Linked DNA regions of Arabidopsis thaliana. The protein of the gene in region 3 interacts with the protein of the main gene of each other region in a pairwise test. Each region holds a gene or a part of one and is shown on either strand. Other genes may lie near its edges.

What was found. Proteins that work in one complex are often made in the same cells at the same time.
Region 1: the proteins of WRKY33 (region 3) and AT5G53830 interact in a two-hybrid assay, tested with the Arabidopsis thaliana proteins (one study listed by BioGRID).
Region 2: the proteins of WRKY33 (region 3) and AT2G44340 interact in a two-hybrid assay, tested with the Arabidopsis thaliana proteins (one study listed by BioGRID).

Annotation. Positions count from the first base shown.
Region 1 is NC_003076.8:21,853,709-21,861,090, reverse strand, and holds AT5G53830 (VQ motif-containing protein), read right to left. Parts: upstream 4,144-7,382; 5' UTR 4,035-4,143; coding exon 3,303-4,034; 3' UTR 2,989-3,302; downstream 1-2,988. Other genes in the region: AT5G53840 (F-box/RNI-like/FBD-like domains-containing protein), read left to right, coding at 419-1,312, 1,406-1,546, 1,644-1,943; AT5G53820 (Late embryogenesis abundant protein (LEA) family protein), read right to left, coding at 7,225-7,299. UniProt on the Arabidopsis thaliana protein: May modulate WRKY transcription factor activities.
Region 2 is NC_003071.7:18,310,990-18,318,310, reverse strand, and holds AT2G44340 (VQ motif-containing protein), read right to left. Parts: upstream 4,124-7,321; 5' UTR 4,033-4,123; coding exon 3,466-4,032; 3' UTR 2,989-3,465; downstream 1-2,988. Other genes in the region: ATCS (Citrate synthase family protein), read right to left, coding at 1-34, 163-245, 423-486, 595-708, 831-896, 989-1,054, 1,236-1,277, 1,424-1,489 and 1 more; AT2G44330 (RING/U-box superfamily protein), read right to left, coding at 7,148-7,321. UniProt on the Arabidopsis thaliana protein: May function as positive regulator of plant growth.
Region 3 is NC_003071.7:16,104,829-16,113,320, forward strand, and holds WRKY33 (WRKY DNA-binding protein 33), read left to right. Parts: upstream 1-3,406; 5' UTR 3,407-3,647; coding exon 3,648-3,890; exon of another isoform or gene 3,891-4,139; coding exon 4,140-4,346; intron 4,347-4,415; coding exon 4,416-4,948; intron 4,949-5,038; coding exon 5,039-5,200; intron 5,201-5,296; coding exon 5,297-5,711; 3' UTR 5,712-5,938; downstream 5,939-8,492. Other genes in the region: IREG1 (iron regulated 1), read left to right, coding at 1-17, 120-291, 466-603, 701-811, 938-1,102; AT2G38465 (uncharacterized protein), read right to left, coding at 1,565-1,690, 1,854-1,982; AT2G38480 (Uncharacterized protein family (UPF0497)), read right to left, coding at 6,132-6,323, 6,405-6,528, 6,616-6,866.

The DNA.
Region 1 (7,382 bases), on a different chromosome or scaffold from region 3:
AAAAAAACAAACTTGATGAGAAAAAAAGCTGTTTACTAGTGATGATATCAGTGAAGTTTGAAAAAGTTTGTGCTGAAAGAAGCCCATCTAGTCTCTTAAGGCCCTTGATCCAGTATCTGTCCAATAAGTGTCAAAATCTTCTCTAGAAAAGCCCAACTGCTTAATCTTGTATCTTAACAATTATTTAAACTAAAATTTTGAAACATGACATGTGGCTGCTTTTTTCATTCATAAAAACCTCTTAACTAAGAAGCAAATCTTAGTTTTTAATTTGTTTTGATTTATTTTTCAGAATTTAATTCTAAGATACTAGCCTAAGATATATTTAAGATACACCAATAGAGGTGCTCTTAACTATATAGATAATAATCGTGTGATAATCTTCAAAATCCTAGCCTGATTAGGTTAGTAGAAACAAATGGTGAAGACAGAAATTTGTGGCAAAGGGTCGAGTCAAGGATCAGAGGAAGAGAGGCTAAGCCAATTACCTGATCATTTGATATGTGTCATTCTGTCTCATCTTTCTACCAAGGATGCTGTAAGAACAAGCATCTTATCCACAAGATGGAGAAATCTTTGGCAATTGGTTCCTGTATTGGATTTCGACTCCCGAGAGTTACGGTCGTTCAGTGAGTTTGTGAGTTTTGCTGGCAGTTTTTTTTATTTACACAAAGACTCATATATACAGAAACTACGTGTATGTATTTATGATCTTGCTGGTAACTATTATCTCACCTCATGGATAGATCTTGTGACTAGGCATAGGATTCAGCATATTGATATTAGTGTTTTTACCTGTTCTGGCTTCGGTGTCATACCACTAAGCTTGTATACTTGTGATACACTCGTACACTTAAAACTCTCTCGAGTCACCATGGTTAACGTCGAGTTTGTTTCCTTGCCTTGCCTGAAGATTCTGGACTTAGATTTTGTTAATTTTACCAATGAGACCACGTTGGATAAAATTATCTCATGCTCCCCAGTTCTAGAAGAGTTAACCATTGTCAAATCTTCTGAAGATAATGTAAAGATTATACAAGTACGCTCTCAGACACTAAAGAGAGTCGAAATACATCGGCGGTTTGATCGACATAATGGACTTGTTATCGATACTCCTCTACTCCAGTTTTTGAGTATTAAAGCTCACTCAATAAAGAGCATTGAATTCATCAATCTAGGTTTCACTACCAAGGTAGATATTGACGTCAACTTGCTTGATCCAAACGACTTATCCAATAGAAGCATGACGCGTGATTTCTTCACCACTATTTCAAGGGTCAGGTCTCTAGTCATTAGACATGGTACTATCAAGGTATACATGTGACAAATATATGTGAGTATCAAAATCTTTTTTCTATAAAATATATATTATCTCTTAACATTCTTTATTTTTACTTTTTACCAGGACATCTTTCATTACATGGAATTAGAACCTTTGCAACAATTTTGTTACCTGTCCGAATTGAGTGCTGTTTGTTCTATTTCTAATCTGGAAATGCTGCTAAATCTTCTTAAGAGCTGCCCGAAACTAGAATCTCTCAGCTTGGTGATGAATTGCTTGACCCTCTCTAATAGTAAAGCAATTTTTAGTGAAGCTTCTCTATTACTAACTTGTTTTCTTGTATTTTTTTTCGTTTTCTTAGAAATTGGTTGACTATGAAAAGAATAAAAAAGAAGAGGTGATGTCTTCGACAGTACCACCACCGTGTTTGGTATCGTCGCTCAAGTTTGTTAAATTGGAAAGTCAGCTCTTGGGATGTGGAACAGAACTGAAAGTAGCTAGGTACTTCTTGGAGAATTCAACAATTCTGGAGAAATTGACTCTAAAGATTGATTATATGTATAAGGATGAGGCAAATGTAAACCACATTCGCCAGACACTCCATGCAGTACCAAGATGCTCTAGTACTTGTGAAGTTGTTATACATTCTCTACTTTACTAAGAATATTATTGTTGAAGAAACCAACATGTGAAGTTATTATTTATGGTCATTAGCCTTTAACTATATGCATAGTCTTGCTTATGTTTCTTGATACATTCATTAATTGACTATTTTTTTTTATATAAATTATTTATATCTATTGATTTGAATAATCTTGAGAAAAAATAAGCCAAAGAAAAAGTATTGGCAACATTGGTTCCAAGTTAAATGTATATAAGTTATATATACAAAATGATAAACATCAACTTGGTCTTCAGTGTATATATAAAAAACATTATAAGTTCGGCCGCATATATGAAAATTATTTTATGCAAGTTTCGGAAATTTCAGAAAATGTGAATAGGAAAGTTGTGGGCAAATTGAAGTGGAAGTTGCTTGTAATGTGAAGCAAAGATGATTCGACTTTTGCTTGGTTTTCAACTCTCATCATAACGGACTACTTATTTCGTCTTTTACTTTTACACTCTTTCTCTCCACTTTTCTCTTTTTTTTAAAAATTTTCATTCAAAGATTATTTTTTTGTCCTTTCAAGTCAAAAAGACAAAGCAACAGAAGAACAGTATTAACGTATATCTATTTCTTTAAGAAAAGAAAAATAGAATGAAGAAGAGAAAGTCAAAGAAATTTTAGTAAAAGACCAAACGTGCCTCCATGATGACTCCATCAAATTCTAAGTCATCATATACCGAAATGGTCCAATACTACGTGTCGAACCTGGTCAGAAATTTCTTTCACGAGTCTTTCTATTTCAAATTGTCTCTTTGAATTTTCTTTTTTTCTTTTGATAAATGTCTTTATGAAACTTTCTAGTATTATTAAGAAATATTAAATATTTTTACAAGTCCAACTTCCAATAGATACTTATTGACAATGACCATTGCATTCAATCCACTCATGTTTTCCAATCCAATAGAGACTTTCATAGATTATATTTTTAAAGTAAGAACTCTATGTATTTCTTTGTTTCATCAAAATAGGTTTTTACTTTTTTGGAAATTTAAGTCTATATCATAAATTCGAGCATAGACATAAATCGATTCTCTACATTGATCTCGATATTGAGTGGCACACGTTGAAGTAACAATCGTAAGAGCAAAACTATAAACGAACTTTTGGAAAAACAAAAAGGACAATGAGTATTATAAATATGAGTATCATCATGAATATATATACTTATGCCTCCCAATTACATATATTGCAATTAATTTTTGAGATTGAAAGTGAAAAAAACCGCACAAAATTTACAGTCACTCCATAACTATGATCAAACTTATAGATATCTTAGTTATAGCTAAACAAAATCCGGAGATAGATATAATTTAATATCATGTATAAAATCACTCATGGATATCGTCGGGATTAAGAGTTCCTCGCCGGAGAAGCAACCGGAAAAAGAGGAAGAAGCAGTGGCTGAGAGTCTCTAGGAGTTGAGACTGGAGATGGATGAAGATAAAAGCCCTTATCAGCAATGGCTTTGTCTTCTTCCGATGAGTTCCCTAATGACAAAGGTGATGACTTGTTGAAGGGGTCATCGTTGCTTCTCAGTGGCGTCACGGGACTGTTTAGCCCTAGCTTCGGAAAATCCAGCATGCTTGGAGACAGAAGAATATTTTCTGATGATGAACTGTTTCTTGGAGAGAATCTCGGGCTTTGATGATGACTGCTGTTTCCTCCTGTGAACATCAATCTCTGAGAGTTTTGAAGCCTTAACGTATTGATCATTAGGTCATTCTTAGCGAACATGTTGTTGTTGTTTTGTCTTCTCTCGTAAAGCTTGAAGCTGTTGGTTTTCTTGATGGGTGGAATCGAGAAACTTGATCCCTTGTTGTTGTTGTTCACCGGAGAAGGAGCTTCGTGGTGTTTTCCGGTGGTGGTATCGGTGGATGAGCCGGTAAGCATCTGAACGACTTGTTTGAAAGTAGAAGTGTCTGCTTGAACAAATGTTGTTGGATAAGGATTTGAGAGATGTTGATGCTGGTCATGATGATGAGGAGATATTATCTGAGGCTGAAACCTAGGAGATGAGATCATAGGAGGTGGGTTTTGCATTTGTTCTGGTTTTGAAGACATGGATGATGTTGAAACTTCCATTAATGAGAGATGTCTTCGTGTTGTGTTGATGTGTATAAGAGGGAAAGAGAGAGAGAGAATGATTGAAGAGAAGAAGAAGAGTGGAAGTTGCTGATGTGAATAATGTGTAATGTTGTTTAGTTTTGTCGTGCGACGACAATTAAAAAGACTTTAAAAAGTGAGGTGTCATGGACCCATCTCTCATTCTCTTTCTTTCTCTTAAAAAACTTTGGAAATTAAAAACATAATTTTGTTAGATTCGTGTTCCGTAGACTATGTACATTATACTATACATCTACGTCTAACATCATCATCATTTCTCTTATACGAATCAACAAGTGTTTGAATAGCTGCCAAGATTTTTTTCTTCTTCTGGATAATTGGGTTAAGGGGCTTATTTATTCCATACGACATTTTATATCAGAAGACAATACCGTGTAAGAAAAAAAAAATTGGCTTGAAATAATGATTTTTCGTCACAAGAATGTCTAAGCCAAAATTTACAATGTTTACCATCAACAACGTATAAAATATACAAATGACTCTTAAATGATGGATTATAGTATTTATACATATCGATGTCCATCATTATTTTTTTCTAATCAACCTACATAACTAAGACCATTACGGTGAACTAATTAAACTTTGATATCAAGAGTTTGATATTGATACATATAAAAGTTTACTCTTGATACTTATCGAACTAATTAAACTTTTTTTGATACTCTTGCTATTGAAGTAGAAAATTACATACATACCTATTTTTGGATATCCATTAAGAATCGTATATTAAAGAACATCAAATCAGGTTTCTAATTAAAACTATAGTGATATACACTGTTTATCTGGAATTTGATGACGCCCATATCCATGAACCATGATATTAGAATAATTTCTATAGGTCGAAGAACAATTATTGAGAATTTTCCTGTAGAATCTATACTCATAGACTCAATGTTAACAATGCTGATGTTCTTAAATTTTTGGCATGCTCTTTTGTTCCTTTTTATCAAATTCGTCTGTTCTCCTCACATGTTTAATTGTTTAATCTAAAGCAATTTGTAATTACCGTTTATGTTGACACACGTTATAAAATTATTACGCTCTACAATAAAAAAAATAAATTGATTTTTGTTTGTCTACAATAACGGATAAGATTTAAATGTCTATGATTTATGTCCCCACATGAGATTTTGATATATTTTCTGTCTTGCAAATATTCATGGTAGCAAATGATAACTCAAATACATGAACTTGTAATATTTGGACCTATTTCATATAAAATATTAAAAATATTCATTAGGAACTTAACATTGTATCTAGAAAGAAAAAGCAAAAACTACCTTCCAATTACCAATTTATGTACGATCAATTTCAGAGTATAAAATAATGGAAACTGTAATTTTCTAATTTCTATATATATAAACACATTTATACTAGTAATGGAAACTGAAATGAAGTCATTTTCACTAAGAAATTTAAATATATGTTTTTTTAGGGATGAGAAGAAATGACTATTAATCTCTCTTTATATAAAATTGATATTATCTACAACAACCCACACTTCTGCCACAACTAAATACCAATTATGGTGACATTGGTGAGAATGTAGCAACGGTTGTGGTGGTGATGGTGGTGGTGACATAACACTGGTGGTGGTGACATAACACTGGTGTAATTTTTTTTTTGTCTTTAACTCAAAACATATTCACTATTCTTTGAATTTAGAATATGATACGGTTGCGACACTAATACAAATATGTAAGTTACATAATCCCATTTTCTAGTAGTACATTATGTTGCATTAAGATTTCAAGTTTTTGTATTATGTCCAAGGTTAGTTTGTAGTATCTATCATATTAAGGGGTATTTTGCATTTTCTTGTATCTATCCTTCTTGAATTATTTTGTACTTCTAAAGATTTCAACTTATAGGCACCCACTTGTTTTCTTACCTAAAAAGGAATATTAATATCAATATCGGTTAGTTATAGCGTGTATGAATAAGCATAAAGAAATTTTTGACAAGACGTTGTACTCAATGATTTATATTTCAATTTGTATGAGAGTAATATGTATAGCATAAAGGTCAAATTTTGAAAAGATGTTGTACTAAAAGTTTTTATTAATATCAAGCTACCAATAGAAAATGCAGTACAAATATTCTCTAACATAATTAAAAATAAAAATATTGAACTTATATATCTTAGTGCGAATAGGTTCTCCTTTATTGAGAGTTTACTACTAACAACAACATTTACACAAATCAGTGTGAGCACATGAGGAAACAAGATTAAAATGGAGATAGTATCCAATTCTGTTTTTTTTGTTCTTTAAATTATTTTAGTATTAATGGAAAAACAACAAAAACTAAGAAGCCAAAAAAAGAAAAAAAGAATACGATAAAGGTAAAAATTGTGGGGACTCGAATTCCAATTGGTGTAAAAATGTCGTCCCTCCATGAGGGATCAAATTCTTTCAAACTTCAAATCATTAGTGTCTTCTAGAACCCAAGTGGTTAAAGATTCCCTCTTATTGCATAAACATGCAAAGCGAGCATATTATATGTCGATCTTATTATATAAAAAAAACTTAATGGCAACTAATTCTTCACGAAATAAAACTACTTATAAGACCTATTATCGGTAAATAGTAATATACATATCACAATGATCAAAAGTGCATGCACCAGATGATATTCGTATCGTACTCGACATTTACATGCATATATATATACACACATACATGAGTATGAAAAACGGAATAATAAAACAAAACAATCAGTTGCTTCACAACAATGTGTGTTCTTTTTTTCCTCTGAAATGATAGGTTCCACCATTTTCACTATTTAACATGTCACTAATCGAAACTATAATCCAACTTGTCTAGTCATGGTAACAAAGAGAATAAATTTAGCCGCAATCATTGCTTATATAAAATAAAAAATTTAAGCTATAGTTTCATGTAATCATGTCATTTATTTAAATATTATAGAAATAACTGCATGGCTACAAATTATCAATAGACAAGAGTCAAAAACTCTTAGATATATAGATATATAGAAAAAAAACATAGAAAAGCAAAAGTAATTGCCTAAATGGCTTCGATCGAAATCCATATTCTTGGATTTAGATAGACATATCTATCTAATTATTTTTCTGGTAGAATAAAAACGAAAACTGAAAACATAAATTATTATTAGAACGTGCTTCTCATTTGCTGATGCCGGTCTTTTCCTTAATGGTCTCACTCGCACCTTGTGCCTTCTGCTTCAGCTGCTGTCCACCCTATATTTTGTTTTTCCAAATTATTAAATTTTCTGAATTCTCAAATTATTTCACAAAAATATACTATTAAAGAATAAGAAAAG
Region 2 (7,321 bases), 2.2 Mb from region 3:
CATTCTCATATGCCTTTTGAAACTCACTTTGCACCTGGATATTAGGTAAAGAAAATTATCATTCTGCTGAAAATTGTTTACTTATAGCCAAAAAAAACAATAAGTTTCCAACGCTTATCACAAGAAGAACAGAAACAACAATACGAGTTTAGAGAACCACACCTGGAGGGCCATAACACCGCTAGCAAATTGAGTCATTGGATGAGCTGTGGAAGGCAGAGCATCGATGGCATTGTACACATAATCTGTATAAAAATTGGATACAAGTTAAGAATGAATGAAAGTATAACACAAAACCCACAAATTTATTTCATTTCTGTTAAGCAATTTCTTGTAAGCATTGATGTCAAACAAGTTTGAATGAGCCAATAAACAGACTCCTTTATTTGCAACAGCCAGAGCGAAAAAGGTAATATCCAAACCTGGCACAGCAGCACGGTTCGCCAAGTCTTTCGACAGTGCTTCAACTTGCTCTTTGCTAGGTACCTATACGAAAAAGGGTAAAAAAGGATATCATAAGATAATCTATTGAGGAAAACTAATCGACTGGACATATCCAGAACCAACTTATAATAATGTACAGAAGAGCCACACCTTTCCAGTTAAGAGAAGCCACAAAAGACCCTCCGGTAATGGTTCAGCTCCAGACTGGGCAGTAGGTAATACTTTCTGGCACTCAGGAATCGACAATCCCCTAAAGCGAATACCCTGAAATAATGATAAGATAATTGCATCAACAGCCTTAGAACAGGAAGGAGGAGCATTTGATATATTCTATATCTAGGATCTAACCAAGCTATTGTAACTATATACAGAGAGTTATACAGTACCTCTTCCGGGTCAAGCAATGAGGTTTCCCAAAGCAATCCAGTCATCCCTCTCATTCCACCAATAACCTTTATTTCAAAGGGGATTATGATGAGTTATGCAATGGAAGGTGAAAATCATATAAACAAACCAAAAACGTGAAAATCATGATTGTTTCTACCATATCAACAGTGATGTTTCCCAGTTGGACCTTCCCATGTTCTGACTTCAGTTTCTTCAGACGGTCCTGAAATTGGAAAATTCTTGTGAGAAAAGAGGAAACTAGAAAAGCAAAGAGATTCACTACAACTAGCCTGCCTTCTTAACTTAACAATCTCAGCTAACATAACAAATAATACACACATTCAATGAAAAAAAAAAGTCAACAACACAAATTTTCATTTAAAGCAAACAGAGTCTAATCTAACCTGCTGTTCCGGAATTAACTCTTGCAGCTGCGACTTCAGGTCCTGCATTGCCACCATTTAAACAAAATGAACAAAGACCCCACAAGCAGCAGATCCCAAACCAATATTAAACTTACATATGATCATGATCATGAAAACTACATGATCACGATCACACACGAAAGTACGAAGCAACGGAGATGATTTACCAGGTCGGTAGAGCTCTGCATCTGAATCCATCTGACAGAATTGCTGAGTGAAGATTGTTGGCCCTGCTTACATAGATTCGATCACCAATCAATCGATTAGCATGAACCAGCGAGATCAAACGAGAACAAACACAAAACTGGAAACAAAATTTTCAAATACTTACGACGCGAGACCTCAGCCTAGTAAAGGCCGATACGCTGCGGAAAAACACCATTCTCCAAAACTCAAAACCTGTGACAGACAGTATCCACCCAATTCTCAAAACAAATCGATCCGTGAAAAAACTCAAGCAATCAACACTCACCAAAATCAGAAACAAACAAAAAAAGTTTTATCGCCGAATCAAATAATTCAACAAAACTCAGAGATTCGATCAGCGGAATTCACCGGCGAATTCAGATTCCAGAAGAAGAGAAAAACAGGACTAGATTCTCCGAAAATTATGGAAGACCAAAAGGAAATGAGAAACACTATGAAGAAGCGAAGAAACATACCAGAGATTCGAGAGCTTCACGGAGATCGAGAAAAAAAAAAGCGATTGTTGAAAAAAATACTAAAAGCTGCGTCTGCGTGTGATGTACAAAATCAATCGGCGAAAGGTGAGCAAATGACATTTGTATATAGCTGGAGCAGGTTTATTACTAAATTCCAATTTTGACCTTCGAGTACTTTGAGAAGGCAAACCAAACTAAACCGGTATTGGAGAAAATAACCTTTAGGCGTATTATTCCGGTTTTATGAATCTCAAAAACAATTTCGGTGTACCGGTGTGGTTATTTTCGGCAATTGTTGATAATCATCATTTATTTCCTTTGCCTTATTTACGGTATTGTTGATAATCATCATTTATTTTTGGTTTAAGAAATCATACTAATATTTATGTGAGCTTTTCAAGCAGCCGGAACGTTTCCAAATCTAGAAAAGTCAGGTTTGAAATTGTCCTTTACAATGTTTTCATCCAATATTATGCAACCAAAACCGATTTAGACTAAAACAAATAATCCCAATGCCTGAAAAAGTAGACTAATTAATAAGTATAACATGTGCAGAACCTTACAAAATAAGATAAAATAAATGTTGACGTTCGAGAACTTTGAGAAGGTAAACCAAACTAAACCAAAACACAGAAGCAAGGGAGTAAACCGTAATCATATACCTTTTCGTTCTTTTGGAAACCAGACCGAATAATTTGGCTTTATATGAAAAGGTCAACGGACACTAAAATCTCAAAACAATTTTGGTGTACCGTTACGGCTATATTCGGTTCGGATCAATTTTCTTTGCATTTTGTTGATAGGTTATATCATTTTGTTTTACTTTATTTTGATAAAAGGGTTAATATTACTCACTGTTGAAAATGATATATTATACACGTACATCAAATATGAAAACACGTTATTTATTTTAGTTGAAGTACTACATGTATAATAAATATCATTTTCAACATTTGTAACAAAAGATTAGTAAACAATAATAATAAAAAAAATAATTTAGCTTGAGCCAGAATATTCTTGTTAACTTACAGTTTAATTTAATTAGTGTAACTGTACTTTAACCGAATAACCGTTATGTAAGTATCGATATTCAATATACACAATCAATCAGAGTATCTATATCGAAAACAAGTCGATCCTTGTTCTAATTCCATACAAACTTTTTCCCCAAAATTAAAGTACAGCAATCATCACATTTATCTGCACACCAAAGAATTAATACACATCCAATAATAGCACATCAATGAAGTTACATAATAAAACTAGGGCTTTTTTGACCGACCACATCTTAATTAGATACAGCCACTTCTCCTAGAAGGGCTGCACGTAGATTAAACTCTCTTCATCACAACTCTCAACCTTGGCAAAGTCAGTCCCGCCAAAAGTTTATGTCTCTCATCATACCCATTTGTTATATCTATATACAACTTCTATGCCTTTTTTCTCCCACAAAATATGACCTTATCGTTGCGATTAGATCTCATCTCACCAAATGCGATTTGCAGAATCAATAAGATTGAAAACCCTAGAAATTAATCTGTTATTAATTAAGACGAATTATGAGCCTTTGTATCGAAGTTGGTGTTGTTGTTGTTGTTGTTGTTGTTGTTGTTGTTGTTGTTGTTGTTGTTGTTGAAGATGAAACCTTCGACTTGTGAAGAAGAAGAGGATCTCATGGGAAACGAAGAGAAGTAATCTTCTCCGACATCTTGAATTAAACCTTCTAGATCAAAGTACGTGTTTGTGTTCGAAGTACTCTGATCACCTGATCCCCACTCTTCTTTCACCTGGTGGTTTCCTCCGTTTGCTAGTAAACCGGTGAAACCCGAAAGCCTGTTGACCGGCTGATGATCATCGCAAACCGGTTCTTGGGGAGTCGTAATTCTTGATTTGGCTCTCTTTTTACCGGTTTTGGCTTCTCCCGGTGCCGGTTTCCCGGTTAGACTCTGGACGAGTGAACGAAAGTTCTTGACGTCGGTCTTGATGACCTCCGGTGCAAATATATGGATTATGCGAATCTTGGGTTTGATCTTGGATATTACTTGTGAATTCCTGTTCATGGAAACCCTAGAACTCGAACCTTCATGAAAACTTTGATATTGAGTAATCTCCATTGAAGAAACTATAAACGATTGAGAAAAGATTTGATCCTTTTTTAGATATCTGTAATTTGAACCAAAATAATTCGTATGCCGTGGAATAATACTGCGGCGGGTTATTTATATATAGATAATTATAAATATATTGGATTGTTGGTTAGTCAATAACATTAAATTAACAACAAACTTGAATATTGAAATAACAAAGAAGGTGTATAACGAAACAGCTATGGACCTGCCTCCATGACACACAACAACAACTTGATTTAAATAAAGTTTTATGTGTGTATCACTATTATTTTACACTAGTACATTTTAGTTTAATTTTTAATTTACAGTCGGAATAAAATAATGTGTTTATGATTTGTGATTAATCAACTGACGATAAATCTAAACTATAATATTATACAAACATCATATAGTTAGAATATCTAAACAGATAGCGTGAGCCATATATATGTCTTTAATTTGGTCGCAAATGTGTCTGTGTGTGTGAAAGTTTTAATTTGTCGGCATGTCTGTTCTGTTCTGTTTTTGGCTTCCCTATAGTTTCTGTAGAAAAATAATTAAATATGATGCTAATTCTATTTGAAAACACTTCTTTTACTAGTTTCATTTTTTGTCTAAGCCGTAATAATGAATCTACGGTTTGGGCGTCTCTACATGATCAAATGATTGATAGTCCCGTTATATTGTTTTGGCTAATGACGTCGTGTGTGGAATTTTACTTTATCATAACTTATAACAATATTAGTAGATGGAAACTAAAATGGCATGCAATTTTATATCGATTTGTGGGGTCAAAATCTGACTCAGGAAACGGTCACTTGAAAACCGACCTAATTCAAATCATAAGTTTTATTTCACTTTCTTTGGTTTGATGATGCTCTTTAAGTCATATTTCTTATAATTTATATATATATATATATAACTATACCAAGGTAATAAACATGAAGATCCCACTTGACGCAGATCATTAATTTTCGTATAAGCTAATTTTGTTTGAATTTAGTTTTAATAAAACCAAAAGTTACCTTCTAAACTATCCCCACTTAAATAGGTTTGTAATGTCTATCTCATCAATTTTCATCTCTATGTTTAGACACTTACATATGCATGAGATCATTCATCTACACATGTTTGAGGTGTCGACACGGATAGATATGCCTTTGTGTGCTTAAAAACAAAGAAAAAATGTGTACTCGTTGGTTTTTATTTAAGTAATTATTTTGTACGAAAGAAATATTTTATACAAAAATGACATACAAACCTACAATAAAGAATTTGAAAGTTGCAAAGAAATAAAATAATAGTTGACTTTTGTTTTGCCAAAGAAGCAAACAAGAGCGACAGGGTGGATTTAACCTCCGTTGACATTACGTAATTTGTCGTTATTTATATTGCAAAAAAACATATTTAGATAATTGGAGAGTCGAATTAGAATTCGAGTATTATCGAGAGGTCTTAGAAAACTTACACACGGAACTGTGTTTTATTTTCTAGTCGTTACAACATATTTGCAATAATGATCATTTCTACAAAATTACATTTAATTTGAAATAAGCAGAATATAATATATGTACTTATACAAGTATACAACACCACTCTTTTTGGTGAATTCTTGAAGCCTACCGCCTATGTAGTCCACCTTTCGATGTTGCTTTGGCCTAAGTGTGATAATTTTGGTTTTACTTATACAATATCACTCTTTTTGGTGAATTCTTGTACGAAACCACTATTTGGTGGTTTTGACCTTGATTAATTAATTCTTGCAAACAATAGCCTATGATCATAGGGAGAGGTCATATTAGTTGCAGACTTTCAGTATTGATAATTATTCTGTTTATATTAACGTCAATCCATTTAGAAGTCAAACTTATTTAAATCTATAAATGTAAACCATACTATTTGATATAATTGGCGCATTTGGTTACATAAATCTCAGAGATTCGATATAAATAGCTGTATGGTTACATAAATAGCTGTATGTTTGTTCCACCAAAAAAAAAAAATAGCTGTATGTTTGTTTGTTTTAAATCAGGTGAATAACATAAATTTGGGGGAAAAAAATCTATGTAGTCATTATTAAATGCCATTACGCGGACTGGGAGACTTGTTCTACATATGCGAACTGCTTAAAACAAATATATATATGCAAAGGCCATAAATTAGAAATCATATCATCCATCAATTTAGATATTTAGAGAGTGGAGTTCATTAAAAAAAAAAAAAAAAACCGTCAACTGGAGTTCAGTGATTCTTTTTTTTTTTCATTCAATATACATGTCCAATGTGATGTATGAAGAATTTTTTTTTTTATTCCTTTAAGAATTTTGCCTTCCTCCACTATAACACTAGTTGTTGTTTACTCTATATTTCACAATTGTCTTTTTATTAATTGTTCGAAAGCAGGCCCAAATCTAATTAAAAGGTCATCTTAGCTAATAAGACGGATTTTGTTTCCTAATTAAACGTATCGGAGTTAGAACAAAAAGTTTGAAACACAACGTAAACGATAAGATCAATTTTGAAAACCTAGAATAAAATTACGCTTTATTAGAAAGCACTTGATCTTGAATACAAGAAAACTCTCCAAGCGCCAAATATGATTGAAGTCTCCCATCTCGCATAATGCTTCTCACAATAGCTCTAGTAACTTTATTAGAATATACCGCTACTCGGTGGCACTCCCATGAATTGAGCCCAGCTAATATGCTATAAACTTTGCACAAGAGAATGCAATATTTGGCCATTATTTGGGATTATTGATTGCCTTCATCGCCGCAACATTGTCAGATACTATTTTCACTCGATTAATGTGCAAGTTGCGTAGACCTTCAAGAGTCGATAAGACACATCGTAGTGTACCGGTACGTCACCAGAGACTCTAGTCGGGTGAATGAAGCTCTAGCATGAAACACGACCAGACCTTCGTCATTTCTTGCGATACCTCGACTACATGGACACGACTAAATAAACGACACATGCATTGAAAGTATCAAGGTAGATTTATTGATGATAAGATAAGTCCATATAGATTTGAAATCATATATTAGTATCAAGGTAGATCTATATATATAGATGTGAAAACGTTATAAAACGTACATCGATGGACCCTATAGCTAGAATTTTAGCCGTCTAAACTTTGCTCCAAATCGAGCGTGACTCCCGCTTCTTCCTCCAAGTCGTCCTCTAGGTTCAAAGCATCAAACCACATGTCCAGACCACTATCGTCTTCACTAGATGCAACCGGGAGCTCAACTCGACAGAGAGGGCACGAGTTATGACTTGTGAGCCAAGGAAT
Region 3 (8,492 bases):
TTCTTCACCGTCCTCAGGTTCCTTTTCTCTTTATCTATATGTTTAAGAGTCCTCAGATGAACATGCATATCCTACCGATTATGTGGATCATTGTTGTTTTATTTACCACCTTGACACAGCTTTGGAACATTGATGACGGCTACATTGCAGTGGGAAGGTATACCTACATATATCATCGGTATAGGCAGGGGAATAAGTGCAACGGTTGGACTAGCGGCTACATTAGTGTATCCGCTAATGCAATCGCGTCTCTCAACTCTGAGAACCGGCCTCTGGTCCTTCTGGTCTCAGGTATATCAACTTGAAAACACACCTATGGTTTGATTCATCTGATTGGTTACAGGTTATAACAAGTCTTTTTCTCATTCTTCACTAGATATTAAGTGTATCATATATGTACTTGACCATGTTATGGAACTCGAGTAAAACAAAAGAGTCATAAAAGTAGGGTTGTTGTTCATACAGTGGAGCTGCCTTTTGGTCTGCGTTGGATCGATTTGGGTTAAAAAGGATAAAATAGCATCTTACATGCTAATGGCTGGAGTTGCTGCTTCAAGGCTTGGCTTGTGGATGTTTGATCTTGCCGTCATCCAACAAATGCAGGTATGTTTACATTTCTTTAGCTTATATAGTTACAGCACACGTATTCTTTAAAGACTTATAATAAGAACGTTTCGTAATGTTTTTGGTCATGTGTTAGGATCTTGTTTCAGAATCCGACCGTTGTGTGGTTGGAGGTGTTCAGAACTCACTGCAATCGGCTCTTGACTTGATGGCATATCTTTTAGGTATCATTGTCTCCAATCCAAAGGTAAATAAATTCCAGTTTATATTCTAAGGATCCATATATAGATAATGACTCTTTTTATCCATCAAATGCAAAATTTACGTTTTCATACAATCAAGGTCATAATATTTATGGACTTTTTTATTTCAGGATTTTTGGATATTGACGTTGATCTCATTCTCCACAGTATCGTTGGCAGGAATGCTCTATACAATTCACCTCTACCGCATAAGAAACCATATTTTTCATCTTGAGAAGATTCCTTTGTTGAACAAATGTATATTCAAGTTGCTCCCTTCTCGTGGAAACGTGTAATTCATAATGTTGTGGAATGTGCCACGATTTCTCCGACATGGATAACTAGAAATGGGGTGGTTTTATGACATGACCATAAAGCAGCCAAAAATGAATCAAATGGCTTAAATGATTGGTTAAATAGGTCAAAGATATAGTCAAAAGAAAACACCCACAAAATAGGTCAGTGACAATTTTGTGATGTGTTAAAGACAACTTTCAGTGACAATTTTGTGATGTGTTAAAGACAACTTTCCTCCGTTTTTTGTATGAATTCACTCTGTTTTGTATGAACTCACTTTTATGTAGTTCTATAATAACAATGAAAATTTTCCATTTTATCTTTTGGGAATAGAATTCTGTATTAAAAATCAATACTGAAATAACATTCATCATTAGTAGTAGAAACAGTTGAAAACTCCCAGATATTTGTGTTTGCTTAATAAAGTACACACTCCATTATTATATGTTAATAAAGAAACATTAAGAAGATTGATGAAGTCTCTTCTTGGCATTCTCTGCTTCATCGGTTGCGTCAACTTGCATTTTTGTCTCCGTTAGATGAGCCTCCGTAGCTTCCTTCTCGTTCTTTGCCGTCAATCTCTTTGTCTTCCAAACCAAAATAAAAATAAAAGATTATAACAAAATGAAACTAATCAATAAGGAAATTAACGAGACACCAAATACGTCAAGTGATCATTGATTCAAGAAGACCCATGAGTCTCTGATCCGCTTGTTTCAGTGGCTCGAAACAAGACTCTTGTATACGCACCTGGCCAACAAAAAAGGCTTTGACATAGCTAAACCCTTCCTGGCATGTTACTGCCATGGATAAACAGTTAGTCTTCACTCGATCGGACAAAGACTTCGCCGGCTGTCGTGATGTCTCGGCGTCTTGCATCGCTGCTTTTTCGAGATAGATAGATTGCTTGAAACTTGAAAGCAAGACTAGGAAATATCTCACTTTCTTGTGCCAATGATGATTTTTTTTAACTATTAATGATTCTGGAAGCAACTCTTGCCACGTCTGTTTTACGTGTTAGCTGTAGAGATACCGACGTGTATTAAAGCAAGAGGCTATTTTACTTTGGGCCTTTTGGGCTTTTGGGCTGAAGAAAGAAACTGTCATCGGATCAACAAACACTGCATAGTTTGCAACTTGCACGGTAAAGCGACACAAAATCCATGACGTTTAATTTAGGTTCCACGTGAAGAACCATACCACATATCGTGCAATAAGAAACTGATCACTTTTATATACCTAAACGATTTACAATTTACACTACTATGCTTGACACGATATGTAATTTTTTTTTTTTTGCCAAAGGGTGTTGTTATTGATATTAAACATTGTACAATACAACGTACATAGACTGTTTATATAAAACAAGGACGTCTAGATAAAAAAAGCAAATAACAAATATTACAAGACTAGTTAAGGAAACAACAAACTGAGTAAGGTTTTATGTACAAAACAGAGACGACTACCAAAGAAGAGGGCCAGACGTGGTAGCAGTGATGGAAGACAAACATCCTGACATCTCAATAAGAACATTTATGGCTACTTCAAATACATATATACACAATATGTAATTCTCTTATTACATTTATGGCTACTTCAAATACATATATACAAAAAAAAAAGGCCTACCTTCGACAGAAGTTATACCAATTTATTGATCGGAAGCTACAAAATGTTATCTAGGGTCAATTTGTAGCCTATCTCTATATCAAAACCGATACGGATACAAAATAGTTTGATAATCATAGAATTTAACATTCTAATAAATATTTGTTTCTAGTATTCTTTAAATGAATAATCTTGTGTTCAATTAGTCTATTCATAGTAGAATTAAGTCTCCTAAAAAATAGATTGAAACCAAAAACAGCCGCACATGGATTTAATATCGACTTTAGTTAGGAGGTTTTGCTAAAAATAGTAAAATACTCACAAACTCACTTCTAAATACTAATCTTTTACACTCATGTCATGTGCTTTAAAGATATGAGAGAACCTTTCCTAGTACACCTACAGTCAAAATTTTCAAGATTCCGAAATTTTCTAGGTTTTTTGAGCAAGAGCCAAGAATCCCAAATGTTTGAATTTGTATTTTTGATCCAAAAATACTACAACATCGTATAAAGAATAAATCATACGTGTCAGAACGAGACATATGAAGATGATGAAAGCATTGAGCCGCCCCTCAAAAAATCCGTTCAACGTTTGAGAGTCAAGGCCACAAGGTCTGACCAATCTATCTCTTCTCCTTCTTCTTCTAATCATATTTTCAACGGTCAAACTTTTTATCACCTTCTCAGAAACTACTCTTCTTCATATGTGACCCTAAAAATAAAAACGAACAATTAAACAAAATTTTAAAATAATATAATATTCACCAATCAGACGTGCAATATGTTTTATATATTCAGACATAACCAACAAATATACAGAAACAAGAAGAAGAACAAGAACCATCACTTCTCTCATTTTCTTCTTCTCCAAGCCCCCCTCCTTTCTATATATATCTGAAATTGGTCTTTTATAAAACAAACTTCCATTTTTCGTATGGCTGCTTCTTTTCTTACAATGGACAATAGCAGAACCAGACAAAACATGAATGGTTCTGCTAATTGGTCACAACAATCCGGAAGAACATCTACTTCCTCTTTGGAAGATCTTGAGATACCAAAGTTCAGATCTTTTGCTCCTTCTTCAATCTCTATCTCTCCTTCTCTTGTCTCTCCTTCCACTTGTTTCAGTCCCTCTCTTTTTCTCGATTCCCCTGCTTTTGTCTCCTCCTCTGCTAACGTAAGCCTCTCTGTTTTTTTTCTCTGTTTCTTTTGAAATGAATCCAATTAGTGATGATAATCTGTGTTTGATGTATCATTGATTTAACATCTTGACAATGAATCGTGATCGGAAGTGATAAAGTTATGGGTCAACGGTTTCAAAGAGAGAGAAAGACTTTTAGAGTCAACTCTCGACTCTTTCTTAATTATGTTATTGCTATTTGTCTCTTTTCTTGAAGTCTGAACAATTCTTGGGATTGTTTTGCAGGTTCTAGCTTCTCCAACCACAGGAGCTTTAATCACAAACGTAACTAACCAGAAAGGTATAAATGAAGGAGACAAGAGCAACAACAACAACTTTAACTTATTCGATTTCTCATTCCACACACAATCATCAGGAGTTTCTGCTCCGACCACAACTACAACTACAACTACAACTACAACAACAACAAACAGTTCTATCTTTCAATCTCAGGTATGTACTTCATCAACAGCTCAAATCCTCTGTTTATGAGTTTTTCTATAACTTTGTTTTGAGTTTCAGGAACAACAGAAGAAGAACCAGTCAGAACAATGGAGCCAAACCGAGACTCGTCCAAACAATCAAGCTGTATCTTACAATGGAAGAGAGCAAAGGAAAGGAGAGGATGGTTACAATTGGAGAAAGTACGGACAAAAACAGGTGAAAGGAAGTGAGAATCCTCGGAGTTACTATAAGTGTACTTTCCCTAATTGTCCAACGAAGAAGAAAGTGGAGAGATCTTTGGAAGGTCAGATCACAGAGATTGTGTATAAAGGAAGCCACAACCATCCTAAACCTCAGTCTACTAGAAGATCTTCTTCGTCTTCTTCGACTTTTCATTCAGCTGTGTACAATGCCAGTTTGGATCATAATCGTCAAGCTTCTTCTGATCAGCCTAATTCCAATAATAGCTTTCATCAGTCTGATTCCTTTGGGATGCAACAAGAGGATAATACTACTTCTGATTCTGTTGGTGACGATGAGTTCGAACAAGGCTCATCGATTGTCAGCAGAGACGAAGAAGATTGTGGGAGTGAACCTGAAGCAAAGAGATGGTACAGATCATCATCACCCTCCAAATTTGCTACTCTTTGAACAATCTTGAATATGAAAGTTCTAAAATGTATGTTTTTTTGTGTTTTCAGGAAAGGGGACAATGAAACAAATGGTGGGAATGGTGGTGGAAGCAAGACAGTGAGAGAGCCGAGAATCGTAGTGCAGACAACGAGTGATATTGACATTCTTGACGACGGTTACAGATGGAGAAAATACGGCCAGAAAGTCGTTAAGGGAAACCCAAATCCAAGGTAATAACATAAACAATTGTGCATCTCAATAACTCAGAATTAAGGTTCTTGAGAATCTGACCTTTTGTTTTCTTTTCATTTGCTGAATCTTAACAGAAGCTACTACAAGTGCACAACCATCGGTTGTCCAGTGAGGAAACATGTGGAGAGAGCATCACACGACATGAGAGCAGTAATCACAACCTACGAAGGGAAACACAACCACGATGTTCCTGCAGCTCGTGGTAGCGGTTACGCCACAAACAGAGCACCACAGGATTCGTCTTCAGTCCCGATTAGACCAGCTGCTATTGCTGGTCACTCCAACTACACTACTTCTTCTCAAGCACCATATACACTTCAGATGCTGCACAACAACAACACTAATACCGGGCCTTTTGGTTACGCCATGAACAACAATAACAACAACAGCAACCTTCAAACGCAACAAAACTTTGTTGGTGGTGGATTCTCTAGAGCAAAGGAAGAACCAAACGAGGAGACCTCATTTTTCGATTCGTTTATGCCCTGAAGAAAAAAGGAACCAGTTGTTCCTTTTTTATGTTCCTTTTGTACATTTCTGCCACCAAAGGATTTTACTACTTACTAGTTATCCTGCAGGATAGTAAGTCAGACTTCTATAGTCCATAGAGAAATTTTTTCATTTGTTTTTTCACACGCCTGTAATATGTTTAATGTTTGTACTTTGTACCATAGAACTAGAACACGGAATAAAACCAATCAATTTTCAGTTTCTTCACTTTGAATAATGAATCAAAGAAGCACACACACACACACACAGTGACACAGGGAGACACAGTGACAGTCTGACAGACCCAAATAACAGAAGTTGATATCAGCTATAAGAACACATAAAAGAATTGACATTTACATGTATAACAAAGATCACAATGGTATATAACTACTGAAGCACATTATTGCAAAGAGATCTTCAGATAAAAGAATGAGTGGAGAGTTTGTAACCGGAGAAGAGAGCAGAGAGAGCTAAAGCAATGAATGCGAAGATAGCCATACTTATAGCAGAAGCAGCAGAATCAGTGAAAATGTTATCTTGACCTTCTCTGAATATGTTTGTCAATGGAATTGCAGATGATGCAGCTGATATAAGCAAATACGCCACAATCTGCAAATTTCACTTTTTTGCATAAAAATCATAACTTTACATATATAAATCTGAGAATTGATAATCAGTTTGTGGCATTACCTGGTCGCCGGAGAAATCGACCAAAATAGAAGTCCGGCGATCGAAAATTTCCCTTTTTGAGAAATGTGCAAATGTTTGCCACGCAGTGTATAATGTTGAAATAATCGAAATCGCCAATACATATCTGAAGCAATATAAGAAATTTCAAAACTTTGATCGATATTACGCAAACCCAATTTCAAATTCCAGTATCAAAAAACGGAAATCGAACCTGTACTCTTCGTAGTCATTGAAGTTTCTACCGTAACCATGTTTATTAGAGACCATAATTAAGAAAGCAATAAGAGAGAACAAAAGACAGATTCCTCTCGTAATCGGAGATGCTTTCTTTATCAAATCCTCTCTTTTCCATCTCTGAGTAATCGTCGACGTTCCAGATGCCGGCGTCGGCTCCGACGTCTTCTCCGCCGCAGATTCCACGTCAGTAGCTTCAACCGGTTTCATGTTATCGGGATTCGTCATATTACAGATCTCAAAACTTTGGTCGGAATTGGTTCTGTTTTTAATGCGAAGATTCGGGACGAGGAATAACAAACTTGGAAGAAAAGAAAAACTGATTAGTTTTGGAAAACGTAATTAAGGTTTCGAGTTTTATATGTTAAATTGAAGAAAACGCGTGGTGGCGGGAGTGATTTATGGTAATTGGTAAGCATTAAGCAATGTGATTAAGACTAACAGTTCTGTGTCATGTGTGTTAGTTAATCGTGGCTTGCATTTAGACAGCGAAGCATGCTCATTGGTCAGGATCATTGTGTTTCATTGGTATTATTTTTAAGAGATTTTTCTATATCTATTTATCTATTCTATGGTGATAATGTTTTCTAATCTATATGGTAATATATGGTTTTAGGATTTGGGATGTTTAATCAATTCCATAACTTTTGTGCTAAGAATGGAATTGTTCTTCACAATCTTTTTATGGAAAGCTTTATATCAAAGTCTGATTGGAGAATTTATGGACAGTTGATTTGTTTTTTTTTTCTCATTGGAAGATTGTGTTTTCTGTATAAAGGAATGTTAATTAACTTTATTACATAACAAGAGTTGGAAACAAACATTATAAAAACTGAAATTTGTTATTTCTTTTTAGCAAAAAAAAAACAAAAAAAAACAAGTTCATTGGAAATTACTTGGAAATAGATTGTTGTCATTTGTCAATATGAAGAGCATAAGTAAGAACTTCCATAAGTCTAGATCAATGATGTGTGCATTAGAAGTACCAAATCATTCGAGGCAGTTTAAGTTCCCATTCTAATTGGACCAATGACGAAGACCAAGGCAAAGAAAATCTTAAAGATGCTTTCAATGATAAGGGGATGATTCAAGACTTGTTGAGTCCACTAGAGAAGTTACCTACGGAGTTCAAATCCAATCCATTTTGAGTCTATTGTCCGACCAATAACTGTAAAAACAGTTATTTCTGTTTTGTTCTTAGCTCAACAAATATAACAACAATTTTGATCTTAATGGAGGAAGAAGGTTTTAATGTGAGAGACTTGTAATGGCTTTGGGAACTTATTAGAGTTCACATTTCACAACCTTTTTTTTTATCGAAAAGAAAAATAAATAAATAAAACTTTATAGAGTTCAACGTGATGATACAATTATCAACATTTGCATTGACCACCACCACACTAAATCTTCTGAGCTTGGCGTTAGCGTCACGTCGAGTTACGGTAGGGTCGTGTGTTTGACGTGAGTTTGAGATTTATTTTTTGTTTATTTTAATGTCATTTGTTTTTCAAAACACACAATTTAACTTTGCTAATTTCATAAGAGTATACTTATTTCTTATCTCTGATAGCTTCGATAGACTTACCATACACTTAACACGTAATTACCGACAGCTGATATTGCTTTATAACAATCCTCTCTCTCTTTTTCTATGACGTCGACTAATTTAATTTGCATAGTAAGTTTTTTAATGGGATCACACCACTATCCAAATAACATAGGTTATCTAGTTCTGTTATAGAAAGTTACTGAATATATCTATGTCAAATCAAATGTATGCGTTGGAAGCTATAGTTTTTGTATTTCTAAAATTAGCATTGGACCACAAACTCCCCAAAACAAATAAAACATTGA